Macaca fascicularis: one gene and its partner. The protein of the gene in region 2 interacts with the protein of the main gene of each other region in a pairwise test. Links are inferred from orthologs where the notes say so. Each region holds a gene or a part of one and is shown on either strand. Other genes may lie near its edges.

What was found. The genes of interacting proteins can lie anywhere in the genome.
Region 1: the proteins of KIFC3 (region 2) and PSMB1 interact in binary tests that used the Homo sapiens proteins (3 or more experiments, as listed by UniProt). The two-hybrid records come from large-scale screens. The link is inferred for Macaca fascicularis from reciprocal best matches to the Homo sapiens genes KIFC3 and PSMB1.

Annotation. Positions count from the first base shown.
Region 1 is NC_088378.1:518,484-524,530, reverse strand, and holds part of PSMB1 (proteasome subunit beta type-1), read right to left. Parts: intron 2,825-6,047; coding exon 2,717-2,824; intron 1-2,716. UniProt on the Homo sapiens protein: Non-catalytic component of the 20S core proteasome complex involved in the proteolytic degradation of most intracellular proteins. This complex plays numerous essential roles within the cell by associating with different regulatory particles.
Region 2 is NC_088394.1:53,965,445-53,972,067, reverse strand, and holds the start of KIFC3 (kinesin-like protein KIFC3), read left to right. Parts: upstream 1-2,870; 5' UTR 2,871-2,966; coding exon 2,967-3,074; intron 3,075-6,623. UniProt on the Homo sapiens protein: Minus-end microtubule-dependent motor protein. Involved in apically targeted transport. Required for zonula adherens maintenance.

The DNA.
Region 1 (6,047 bases), on a different chromosome or scaffold from region 2:
TCTCCTGCCTCAGCCTCCCAAGTAGCTGGGATTACAGGCGCCCGCCACCAGCCCAGCTAATTTTTGTATTTTTAGTAGAGATGGGGTTTCACCATGTTGGTCAGGCTGGTCTTGAACCCCTGACCTCAGGTAATCCGCCAGCCTTGGCCTCCAAAGTGCTGGGATTACAGGTGTGAGCCACTGCACCCAGCCTCATGAAGGTAGATTTAAATATAACACAATCCAAGGGCCACACAGAAAAATTTCATAAATTTGACTACATAAAACTCTACAGAGAAATTTATGAATAGCTTTTTAAAACCCTAAGAAAATATACTGGTAGCACCTACCATCAAAGTCTAGTTTTAATTCTGCAAAGAGTTCTTACAAATAAGAAAAGCAGTAACGACACAAAGAAAAGAAGGGTAACAGTCTATGAACAGACAAGTCACAGAAAAAAGAGACATTAAGTCACCATAAACATAAGAGCCTCTATGTTACTCAGAAATCCAAATCTAAAAAAGAGACTATTTCAACCAATCATAATGGCTAAAAACGCCTAACTAAATGCTGGTGAGGTTGTGGAAATAGTATAAACTGATTAACTTGTTAGATGGGCAATTTGGTGGTATCCATTAAAATTTTAAATACACACCACTTTCACCAATTCTACTGCTAGACATCCATCTTGTCAATATACTTATGCCAGCATGCAGAGGGATGCTCTAGACTCACTAGTGAGCATTCATTTAAATAGCACCCCATAAGAAAACAAAACAAAACAAAAGCCAAATGTCCATCTGTATGGAAAGGACTAAAATTTGGCATAGACATACAAATTCAACCATGTAATTCAAAAATTAATTCCTAGATCTTTATATGAATCTATAAAGAAACCTACACAATATTTTGCAGAGGCCACAACTCCTTTTGGAAACTTATGAATGACCCGCACAAACCATACTTGTCCTACTAGGAGAGCAGCCGACACCTCTAGGGTCATCACTAACATCAACTCTATCCCTACCACCAACCTCACTGCACTGAGGTGAAGACTCCAATCCCCTACAAGGCTTTACTGCCTTTACTAACAAGATTGGCTGACAATACCAACAGGGAAAGACAGAAATCTTAGAACTTCAAGATGCTTTTCCCAAATATCCAGGTACCACCAAAGGAATGGGAGTTTTCATGCAAAGAATATAGTCTCCAACAGGTTTGGAAGAGGCACCCCTAGTTCTAGGTCCGCCCCACAGGACATGGGATGAGAGATATATACAGGCATTCGTTAATGCTGTATTGTTCTTATTCTCTATCTCTATATCTGATGTGTTTCATTAAAAAAAAAAAAAAAGTGCTCACTTCAGCAGCAAACGTAACTAAAGCAACATTTAAAAGATGAGTAAAAGCCAGTACAAGGATGGTATCCATAAAGTTGTTTTAAAATCTTATTTCTAATATTTACTACTTTCAAGTTGTACAAGTGTCATCCTCGAGGAGAAAAAAAGATAACACGAGAACACTATGAACAGAAAGCAGAAAGACGGTATCAGAAGATGCAAGTGGACAGAAAGAGAACCGGGAAGATGCAAACAAACTTCACTGCTTTTTGGGATAAGATGTGGGCTATCCCTGGGACCAGGGAAGAAAACGTATCTTTTCTTCTGTACCTACTTCCTACAGTACAAGGACGGCCTGTCCAAAGGACCTAAACCTCCTAAGTCCCATTCATTCCTATTACAATTCAAGTTTAATAGACTTTTGTAACTAACCCAGGAATTCATGACCATTTATAAGTATTTCCAAAACTGTTAAATACAGACCACTACTAATCTGCAGTATGTATTTAGCTGATTTATGCAGGCTTTTTTTTTTTTTTAAGTTTTGGCTTTATTTTCATGTTTTAGGAAAAACACAGCTAGCCTATTAAAACTGAGCTATGGATATAATGGCTTAGGGTATTTCTAAAACGAATGTTTCAAGTTAAAAAAAACAGTGTGGGGAGGCAGATTTTTAAAAAATACCATTTAATGATTAATGGTGCTATGGTTTGAATGCTTTCTTCAAAACTCATGTTGAAATTTAATTGCCATTGTGATGGTACTGGGAGTTGGGACCAGGTGTTTAGGTCCTGAGGGCTCAGCCCTCATGAATGGACATTATCACAGGAGTGGGTTCGCTCGCTCTTCTTTCTCTCTCTCTGGCTTTCCACCATGTTAAGACACAGCAGGAAAGCCCTCACCAGATGCCAGCCCCTCAATCTTGGACTTCGCAGCCTCTAGAACTGTAAATCAATAAATTTCTGTCCATTATAAGTTACCTAGTGTGTGGCATTCTGTTACAGCAGCATAAAATGGACTAAGACAAATGTATAGATGGAAAAAGTGACAAAGTAATTATAGTAAAATACAAACAGTAAGATCTAGGTGATGGCATACGGGTTTTCATTATGAAACTCTCTTACTTTTGTTGCACATTTGAAAATTTTCATGGTAAAATGCTGGGGTGAACACATTTAAGTTACCGAAAGCACTTTTGGTACCCTGAATATAGCAAATATTTTTAAGACTGCACATTGAATTATTAGGAAACATTAACTTAGAAAATGATTTTCTAATAAAAATGCTCCCAACAGCAACTTAAAAACTCATGAAACAAATCATTTAGAAGTAGAAACTCTCACAGCATTAAATCATTACAAAGGCATTGTGAAATGTCTTCAGAAATATTTACTTACAATTTGTAACATTTGGGGCTATCCCGGGTATGAATTGAAAACCCTTCACTCAGTCGAGTATCAGAAGCAACAATTGCAAAATCTTCTCCAGCAATTGCCAGTACAGTACTGAGGAAAAAAGAAAAAAAACATTAATTCTCCAGGGTGGTAATCCTATCCCTACAAATAGAAGAATGCTCCATAGCACATACTGGGATCAAATACTCTAGATGTCAACAAAACATGATTCAAATGGGAAGAGGAAAGATGAGCGGCAAGAGAATGAACCCCTGGTTACAAGTTGCCTGGAAAAACAAATTATTAATAAGCCTAAATCAGGGCAAAGTCTCCTTGGCAGGAGGTAACAGAAAAGTCAATGAATTATCATCACCAACACATTAAATGCTTACTTGTGCAAGGTACTACTAATACAGAACAACTAAACACCACGTCTGAGCCCTTGAGGGTTAACTACAGACAGCGGTACTACAACACAAGCTCTAGGAGTTTCGAGAAGATGGGATTTATCTTTCTTTCTCTTTATAGCCAAGTCCTTATGTAACGCCTATATAATGCTTATTTCTTTATACCCAAGTCCTTATACAATGACAAACGGACAAACAGTAAATTTTTTCCTCTGTGGCTGTACAATTTGACAGCTTATCAAAGAAATTTACAGTATGAATTCCAAAAGCAGACTGCCTGGGTTCTAATTCTGGCTTTCCCAGTTAGCAGATATGAGACTGTGGGTAGTTACTTCTCAAGGCCTCAATTTCATCATAAATACAACAGAGATCACTTCAGTTGCTACCTCAATAGGGTGTTCAAAGAATCAAATATGTAAAGCCCTTATAGCAGTCCCTGACATGTAACTGGTCCTCTAGTAAGTGTTAGCTATAACTGCTATGGCACTAGAGTATGACTAAGCACCTGGGCTCTGGAATTACATGAGACAGAGACCCACTCTTGCTACTTACTAGGTATGTGATCTTAGGAAAATTCTCCAAATCCAAGTTGATGGTAACAGTACCTGTGTTACAAGGTGTGTATATTTGGGTGTGTATATTTTACTGTAAAAGGCTTGATTGATAACTATAACCACTGCTTCAATGCAATAGTGGAAATTAAAGGCATGGTGCCTCACAGACGTAAGCACTCAGAAAACTTTAACCACTATTTTCACTGAGGAGGGATTTATGCTAAAGCTCTCACGTAGAAAAGGATGGCATTCCAGGTAATATAAACAGCATGCAATGGCAAACAGGTAATAATTCAAATAGTACATTCAAGCAACTCATTCAGGCAGCCATTTTTGCACAAACACACGTAGTGACATAAGGTTTATGTGATGGACAGGGTTCCTACTGTAGAAAATCCCAAATGCTAAGCTAAAGATTTTGGAATTTTAGCAAGAAATCACGAAGGTTTTCTGAGCAAGAATGACCTGTAGTTGTAACTACCAGGAGGCTGAGGTGGGAGGACTGCTTGAACCCTGCAGAGAGCTATGATGGTGCCTGGGCATTAGCAGGAGATCTGGTCTTTTAAAAAGATGCAAGAGAGAGAAAAGTTCCATTTACAAAGTGGGGTTTCAGGAAGACTACTCTGACAATAACAGTACATGAAATGGGATGGAAACACTGTTCTAATACTACTAATGCAATAGTAAGGTAACAGGGTGAACAGGTAAATCCGAAATTGTCACAAACACACAAAATAGACAAGTTGTTATACCTACGTAAATGTGTTAGGAACTGGGAAAACCAATTATGACATCCAAGATTTAGAACTTAAATGAGCAGAATCATGGCATAATTATAAAAAGTATTTTAAAGGAGAGCAGAGGAGGCCGGGCACGGTGGCTCACACCTGTAATCCCAGCACTTTGGGAGGCTGAGGCGGGCAAATTGCCTGAGGTCAAGAGTTCGAGACCAGCCTGGCCAACATGGTGAAACCCCATCTCTACTAAAAATAGAAAAGTTAGCCAGGCATGGTGGCAGGCACCTGTAATCCCAGCTGCTCGGGAGGCTAAGGCAGAAAGCTTGAACCCAGGAGGCGGAGGTTGCAGTGAGCCAAGATTGCACCACTGCACTCCGGCCTGGGTGACAGAGTGAGACTCTGTCTCAAAAAATAATAATAAAAAAGGAGAAGAGGAGATTGAGGGGAATAATTAGCTTGCTTTTTGTTTTGTTAGCTGTCTCGAGTTATTGTGAGAGCAGAAAAACCAGTTAGAAATATTTTACCGAAGAAGCCAGAATTGAGGGACTCATGAGAGGCAGAACTGGAAAACCAGATTTGGGAGTTATCCTCCCAGCGATGAGACATGAAAGAGTGCTGAGTGATAAACAAGGGGGCCAATGACTTGTTTAACTACATTTAAAGACAGAGTAGAAAAAGAGAATGAGGCCTCATTTTGTGGAAGCAAAGGCTGCCTGAAAGTCAGCTGCAGTAAACACTAAAGAAAAAGAACAATGACTGAGAAAAAGTAATCAGAAAGTTCTAAGTAATTTTTAGGGCAGTAATGGCTTAAACTGGATTACTAGGGATTAAAAAGTGAGTAATGAGTAGGGCATACTGAACACTGAAAATTCTTATTTATAGAGAATAGCGTTATGAAATGGGTCTAATAACCCTCCCTACAATGTACAACTTAATTAGTCATCACAGGAAGTGTTAAGGAGTATAATGGAAAAGCATGAATAAACTCAGTGGTGAAATAGCTAAGTCCTGGCTCAACTTCACACCAGCTCTCTGACCCTGACAGTTTAATGTCTAATATGACCCTAGGATGCTAACATCATCGAACATTCACTTTTCATGATGATTAAATAAGATGACGGCTTGCAATTTACCAAATACATCTCTCTCGATTCTCACCAAAAACTATGAAGCTACTAATGAAGAAAATTTAGGTTCAAGAAGTTCAGAAGTAACCAAAGACCTGACTGTCCTTTAGTGGCAGAACTAAGACTAAAATCAGACTTTCATTGTCTTTCTAACACACTCCAAAAATATGCATTAATATTTCAAATTTATGAGGAACCAATTAACATTTTTGCTTTGTTTTTAAAATTTATTTTTGTAGAGATGGGGTCTTGCTATGTTGCGCAGGCTGGTCTTGAACTCCTGGCCTCAAGCGATAATCCTCCTGCCTTAGCGTCCCAAAGTCCTGGGATTACAGGTGCGAGCTACAGTGCCCAGCCAATACTTTTTGTTTTCTTTAAGAACCATCGGTTCATTCAAATTGAATGTATATATTTTAATGTACAAGGCTTGATTAGTAACTATAACCACTGCTTCAATTTACAGCTCTTCCCTGTCAAGAGTCTTAAACAAAGCATCTTTCTATAACCCT
Region 2 (6,623 bases):
ATGTAGGACTGATTTCACTTGCTCCCCACTCACAGGTCCTTATTATTATTATTATTATTATTGTTATTATTATTTGAGACGGAGTCTCGCTCTGTAGCTCAGGCTGGAGTGCAGTGGCATAATCTTGGCTCACTGCAACCTCTGCCTCCCGGGTTCAAGCAATTCTCCTGTCTCAGCCTCCCTAGTAGCTGGGACAACAGGCATGTGCCACTGCGCCCAGCTAATTTTTGTATTTTTAGTAGAGATGGGGTTTCATCATATTGGTCAGTCTGGTCTCGAACTCCTGATCTCAGGTGACCCACCCACCTTGGCCTCCTAAAGTGCTGGGATTACAGGCGTGAGCCACCGCGCCAGCCTATTTTATTATTATTATTTTGAGATAGTGTCTTATTCTGTCACCAAGCCTGGAGTGCAGTGGTGCAATCATAGCTCACTACAGCCTCACCCCCCTGCGCTGAAGCGATATTCCCACCTCAGCCTTCTGAGTAGCTGGACTACAGGTGCACGCCACCATGCCTGGCTAATAAAAAAAAAAAAATTATGGAAATGTGGTCTTGCTTTGTTGTCCAGGCTGGTCTCAAATTCCTGGCTTCAAGCGATCCTCCCACCTGAGCCTCTCAAAGTTCTGGGATTACAGGCGTGAGCCACCATACCTGGCCTAAGGACCCTTATTGCTCAATGTATCTATAAAGTACCTACCCCTTTACATGTGTGCTTTGTCCAGAAAATGGTCTCAGGACAGCCCTGAGGACAGATTATGGCAAAATCTCAACATAGTTTCTGTTACTCAATGCTCAATTGTTTATCTTTTGTCATTTGTTCAGTTGATTTGTTGATTCTTGTTTTTTGGCAACTAGAAAGTCATTTAGCAAATATTAGGTTAATAAAAATGTGTAGGTCTGTAGGTTTTAAAGAAAAGAATGTGGACACTAGTATCTTATTACTGTTTTGCTGCTTCTCTCAGAATTATCCTTATTTCCTATAGTGTTAATTAGTCATATTTTGGTCTTATTATACTCCAATAAAGGTAAAGAGGTTGAACTTGGGGCTCACACCTGTAATTCCAGCACTTTGGGAGGCCAAGGTGGGAGAATCGCTTGAGGCCAGGAGTTCAAGACCAACCTGGGCAAAACATGGTGAGACCTCCCCCACCCCAATCTCTATTGAAAAAAAGAATTTTTTTTTTTTTTTTTTCCGAGACAGTCTCGCTTTGTCGCCCAGGCTGGAGTGCAGTGGCAGGATCTCGGCTCATTGCAACCTCCATTTCCCGGGGTAAGAGTCTCCTACCTCAGCCTCCTGAGTAGCTGGGATTACAGGCACGCACCACCATGTCTAGCCAATTTTTGTATTTTTAGTAGAGATGGGGTTTCACCATGCTGGCCAGGCTGGTCTCAAACTCCTGACTGCGTGAGCTACCTGCCTCAGCCTCCAAAAATGCTGAGATTTACAGGCGTGAGCCACCGTGCCTGGCTGAAAATTTTAAAATTAGCTGGGCATGGTGGCACATCCCTGTAGTCCTCACTACTCAGGAGGCTGCGGTGGGAGAATTGCTTGAGCCCAGGGGTTCGAGGTTGCAGTGAGCCATGATCATGGCACTGCACTCCGGCCTGGACAACAGAGCAAGACCTTGTCTCAAATAAATAAATAAATAAGAAGAAATTTGAAAAATACATATATATTCTTAATAAATTTGTGGTTTTATTGAGTTATTAGAGTCCCATGCCATAGGCCCTTCAAAAGCACATGTCCTCCCAAGAAAACTTTAATTACAGTAACAAGCAGTAAATTGATAAAAGAACCAGAGGGCCAGGGTACACAGGAATTGTTTTATTGTCTTTTCCATGTCTCAGGCATTCTATAATTGTCTACTTCATCCATGTTCTGAAGCTAATTAGTTATTCCATCCCCAGGATAAAGTTAGGCCTCTTAGTTTTAACTTCGTATTTGCAGGTTTGACCTAATTCCTTGCCAGCTCATAATATAATTAAGGTTGGCATTCCTTCTCTTATCCACCCTCCCCACTCCCCGGCCTTCCCTCCCAGCTGTGTGCCTGTTTATCACTAGATGGTGCTAAGACTTGGGTTATAGCTGCCAGAGACTCCAGGAAAGTTGTTTGGGAGCCAAGCAGGCTGGAATTTGAGAACTGGAAGATGCCTTCAGAGCTCATCCGGGCAGCACTTTTGTTTTACAAATGAGGAAACAGAAACTCAGTGAAAATAAGTAATTTGTCAGAGCCCCAGAGATCTCTCCCCTCCTTTTTTTTTCTCTCTTATCTGTTAATAGCTTCCAGTGTTACCTCATCACCCAGGAAGGAGCACAGCTCAGAGAGCAACAAGGTCAGAGTTGCTTTGCAGAAAGCACTTTGGCAGCTGCATGGTACCATTCATTGATTCATTCATTCATTCCAAAAGCAGTTATTGGGTACCTACTTTTTGCTTTGCATGGTGCTATGTTGGGAATAAAAATCAGATGAGAATTCCTAGGATTCTAGGAATTCACATTCTCTTAGGAAATTCAGAAATGCAAAAAAAAAAAAAAAAAAAAAAAAAGAAAAGAAAAAAAGAAAAATCACCCCCTAAATCAAAGATGCTATCATAGAGGTGATTATAGGACACTCTGGTCACTTGGAGGAGTTTGCAGCCAGCTGCATTCGTAATTCAAAGGGAAGATTTTGGTGAACTAACATTGGAGGCTGAAGGGCACGTCGGATCTTGTAGGCAGAGGAACAGGAGGAAGGGCAGTCTGGGCAGAGAGCATCATGGGGGAAGGCTTGGAGAGCTAGTGAGGCTTGCTGGAGAGAGCAGCTGATTGTAGCTAATGACCAAAGGGCAGGGTCAAAGGGGCAGGTGGTAATCTGGAAAGGAGGGAACAGACTGGAAAATACTTCATCCGAGGTGTCATGCTTAGGAATCTGTACTTTATCCTGAAGGCTACAGGACAACCCAGTAAAGCGTATTGCTCGGAAAATGGCATGGATGGAGTTTCTTTTCAGGAAGAACACTCTGACAGCTGCATGGAAGCCCAGACACCAGGAAAGCCTCAGATTGGAGGCTGGCGTCCCGGAGCAGTGCGAGGTAAGGGCCTGGCTGGGTTGGGGCAGTGGGAATGGGAGGAGGAGACCTGTTGGAGAGAAATTTCAGGAGCAGGACTGACAACATCTTTTTGAAAAACAGTGATTGGGATTGTAACTAATATTCCTAGAAGATGGTTACCACTCTGGTATTTGAATTACTTATAAAACACTGAAGGGATGAAATTTTAATTGAATACACATATTACTTGGATACAATGTTTGAAATTATTTTAAAAATGCAACTTTATGGCAGTATAGTAATCCTCTCTTATCCACAGTTTTGCTTTCTGAGGTTTCAGTAACCCTCTTGCCTCACTGCAACCTCTACCTCCCAGGTTCAAGTGATTCTCGTGCCACAGCCTCCCAAATAGCTGGGATTACAGGTGCGCACCATCACACCTGGCTGATTTTTGTATTTTTAGTAGAGACAGGGTTTGCCGTGTTGGTTAGGCCCCAAGGTCCAAAAATATTAAATGGAAAATTCCAGAAATAAACAATTCATAAATTCTAAGTTGCATGATGTTCTAAGTAGCTTGATGAAATCTCAGCCAGGCACGGTGGCTCACACCTGTAATCCCAGCACTTTGAGAGACTGAGGCGGGAGGATCATTTGAGCTCAGGAGTTTGAGACCAGCCTGGGCAAGACCCTGTCTGTACTAAAAGAAAAAAAAAAAAGTAGCCATATGTGGTGGTGTGCACCTGTAGTCCCAGCTATTCCAGACAGAAAATTAAAGAACAATAATAATAATAATAAAGGCGCCAAAAAGCTCCCAGGGAGTAGCAGGTAAGCCCAGCTGCCAGAATTCGCTTCCGGAAGCTCATCCTTATTCCTTGATGATCTATATATATGACTGGCTAGTACTTCCACTCCTTCCGCTTGAAAATATTTTACCTGTGGGAAACATTATTGTTATTATTTTTATTATTTTGAGGCAGAGTTTCACTCTGTTGCCCAGGCTGGAGTGCAGTGGCACAATCCTGCCTCACTGCAACCTCCACCTCCCAGGTTCAAGTGATTCTCGTGCCACAGCCTCCCAAGTAGCTGGGATTACAGGTGCACACCATCACGCCCGGCTGATTTTTGTATTTTTAGTAGAGACAGGGTTTTGCCGTGTTGGTTAGGCCGGTCTTGAACTCCTGGCCACAAGTGATCCACCTGCCTTGGCCTCCCATAGTGCTGGGATTACAGGTGTGAGCTACCGCACCTGGCCTAGGAAAGATTATTTTGATCACATGGCTGTCTTCTGGCCTTCTGGCCCTCAGTACCATGGTGCAAATTGTTTTATGATCGTCCCCGGGTAAAGTGGATGCTGGGTCCATCGTCCTTCCTGCCGCCTGCAATACATCCTTGGGAACATCCAGACCAGCCATTTGCCCTGGTCAGCATTGTTTCATTTATGAGATTGGTAATTAACAAATTAATTATCTAAGGTTGCGTGGTGAGAGAGGGAAAGACATTGAGATAGAAGGTTAATAGTGTCAGAGATGTCCTGACCAGAGAGACTCCATCCTGAATAAAGGCTAAGTAAAGCCAATCCTGCTGGGCAGCATTCCCAGGGGGTTGACACTGTTGGTCACAAGATATTTATGGTTGAGGGGATGAGTTAATGATGCTAACTTACCAAATAAAGACCCAGAACTTATGGAAACGTCCCAATATTTCAAGAACAAAAAGCATTCTTAGTTTAAGAATAGATTTTACTTTAAAGATAATAGTACACACATAAATTCTTGTGGAAATCAGTAGTAACATAGGAAAATAACAATACTAATAGCCCGTCACAAGCTGATCAAAAGTCTTTGTAATGAAGTATGCTATTCTTAACAACCTATATAAGCAAGCACTATGTTTAAGGTGAGGCATTCTTGGCCAGGCATGGTGGCTCACGCCTGTAATCCCAGCACTTTGGGAGGCTGAGATGGATGGATCTCTTCAGCTCAGGAGTTGAAGACCAGCCTGGCCAACATGAAAAAACCTTATCTTTACAAAAGATACAAAAGTTAGCCAGCCATGGTGGTGTGTACCTGTAACTCAGCTACTTGGGAGGCAGAGGTGGAAGGATTAATTGAGCCTAGGAAATTGAGGCTATAGTAAGCCATGATAGTGCCACTGTACTCCAGCCTCAGTGACAGAGTGAGATCTTGTATCTAAATAAATAAATAAATAAATAAAAATTTTAAAGTAGGGGCATTCCTCCTTTTGCTTTCTGAGGAAGCCTTACTCCATAATAGTCTCTAACAAACTATCTTAACTTTGCTGTACTCTGCAACTTGCCCTGAATTCTTTCCCGAGAAAGTGAGATCTAAGAGCCCACTCTTGGAGTCTGGGACAAGACCCATTTTCTGGTAACAGCAGTGGTAATGAATGAACATATGTAATTTAATTATCATTTGGATATCCAGTTTGATTTTCTTTTTTTAAATTTTTAAAAATTTTTGAGACAGAGTTTCACTCTTGTTGCCCAGGCTGGAGTGCAATGCATGATCTTTGGCTCACTGCCACCTCCTCCTCCCAGGTTCAAGCGATTCTCCTGCCTCAGCCTCCTGAATAGCTGGGATTACAGGCATATGTCACCATGCCCAGCTAATTTTGTATTTTCAGTAGAGATGGGGTTTCGCCACGTTGGTCAGGCTGGTCTTGAACTCCTGACTTCAGGTTATCCACCTGCCTCTGCTTCCCAAAGTGCTGGAATTACAGGTGTGAGCCACTGCCCCAGTTTGATTTTCTAAATTTTACTCTGCCTTTATAGAATTTCCTAGGGAGGAATTAAGGGAGCTCCACCTGCCCCGCTTGTTTTTATTTTATTTCATTTTTGAGACAGAGTCTCACTCTGTTGCCCAGGCTGGAGTGCAGTGGCGCAATCTCAGCTCACTGCAACCTCTGCCTCCTGGATTCAAGCCATCCTTCCTCCTCAGCCTCCTGAGTAGCTGAGACTACAGGCATGCACCACCACACCTGGCTAATTTTTGTATTTTTAGTAGAGACAAGGTTTCACCATGTTGGCCAGGCTGGTCTCCAACTCCTGACCTCAAGTGGTCTGCCTGCCTCAGCCTCCCAAAGTGCTGGGATTACAAGTGTGAGTCACTGCATTTGGCCTTGATTTTATTTTAAATGTTTGTGGGGAACATGGAGATGAAACTAATGGTTCCGTTTGTAGTGACCTACACAGTTGCCCTCCCACTGTAACTGGTGTATGACTTCCGCGGGTGTGGGAGAAGTGTTGCCTGTGGGAAATTTCTAAGGCTGATGTAGACAACATAATCTCAGGGTCTGTAGCAGCTCAGCAGGAATGAATGAGCCCCCTGCTGGAGTTTCTGAGAGCTTTGTGAAAACAGCTATAATTAGTATCTCCTTAGTGAGACTCTTTTTATGCTTTAACTAAAGTCATTCGTTCCATTTTAACTGCATGAAGCAAATGCTGGAGGAAGGAGGGTGAGGAACGCGGCCTTTTCTTAAGTCTAGAAGTGGAAGCAGACAACATACTCAAGCTGAGAATATACATTAGTAAACTATTTTTGGTGTGTGTCTTTGGTGTAGACATTTCTGGAA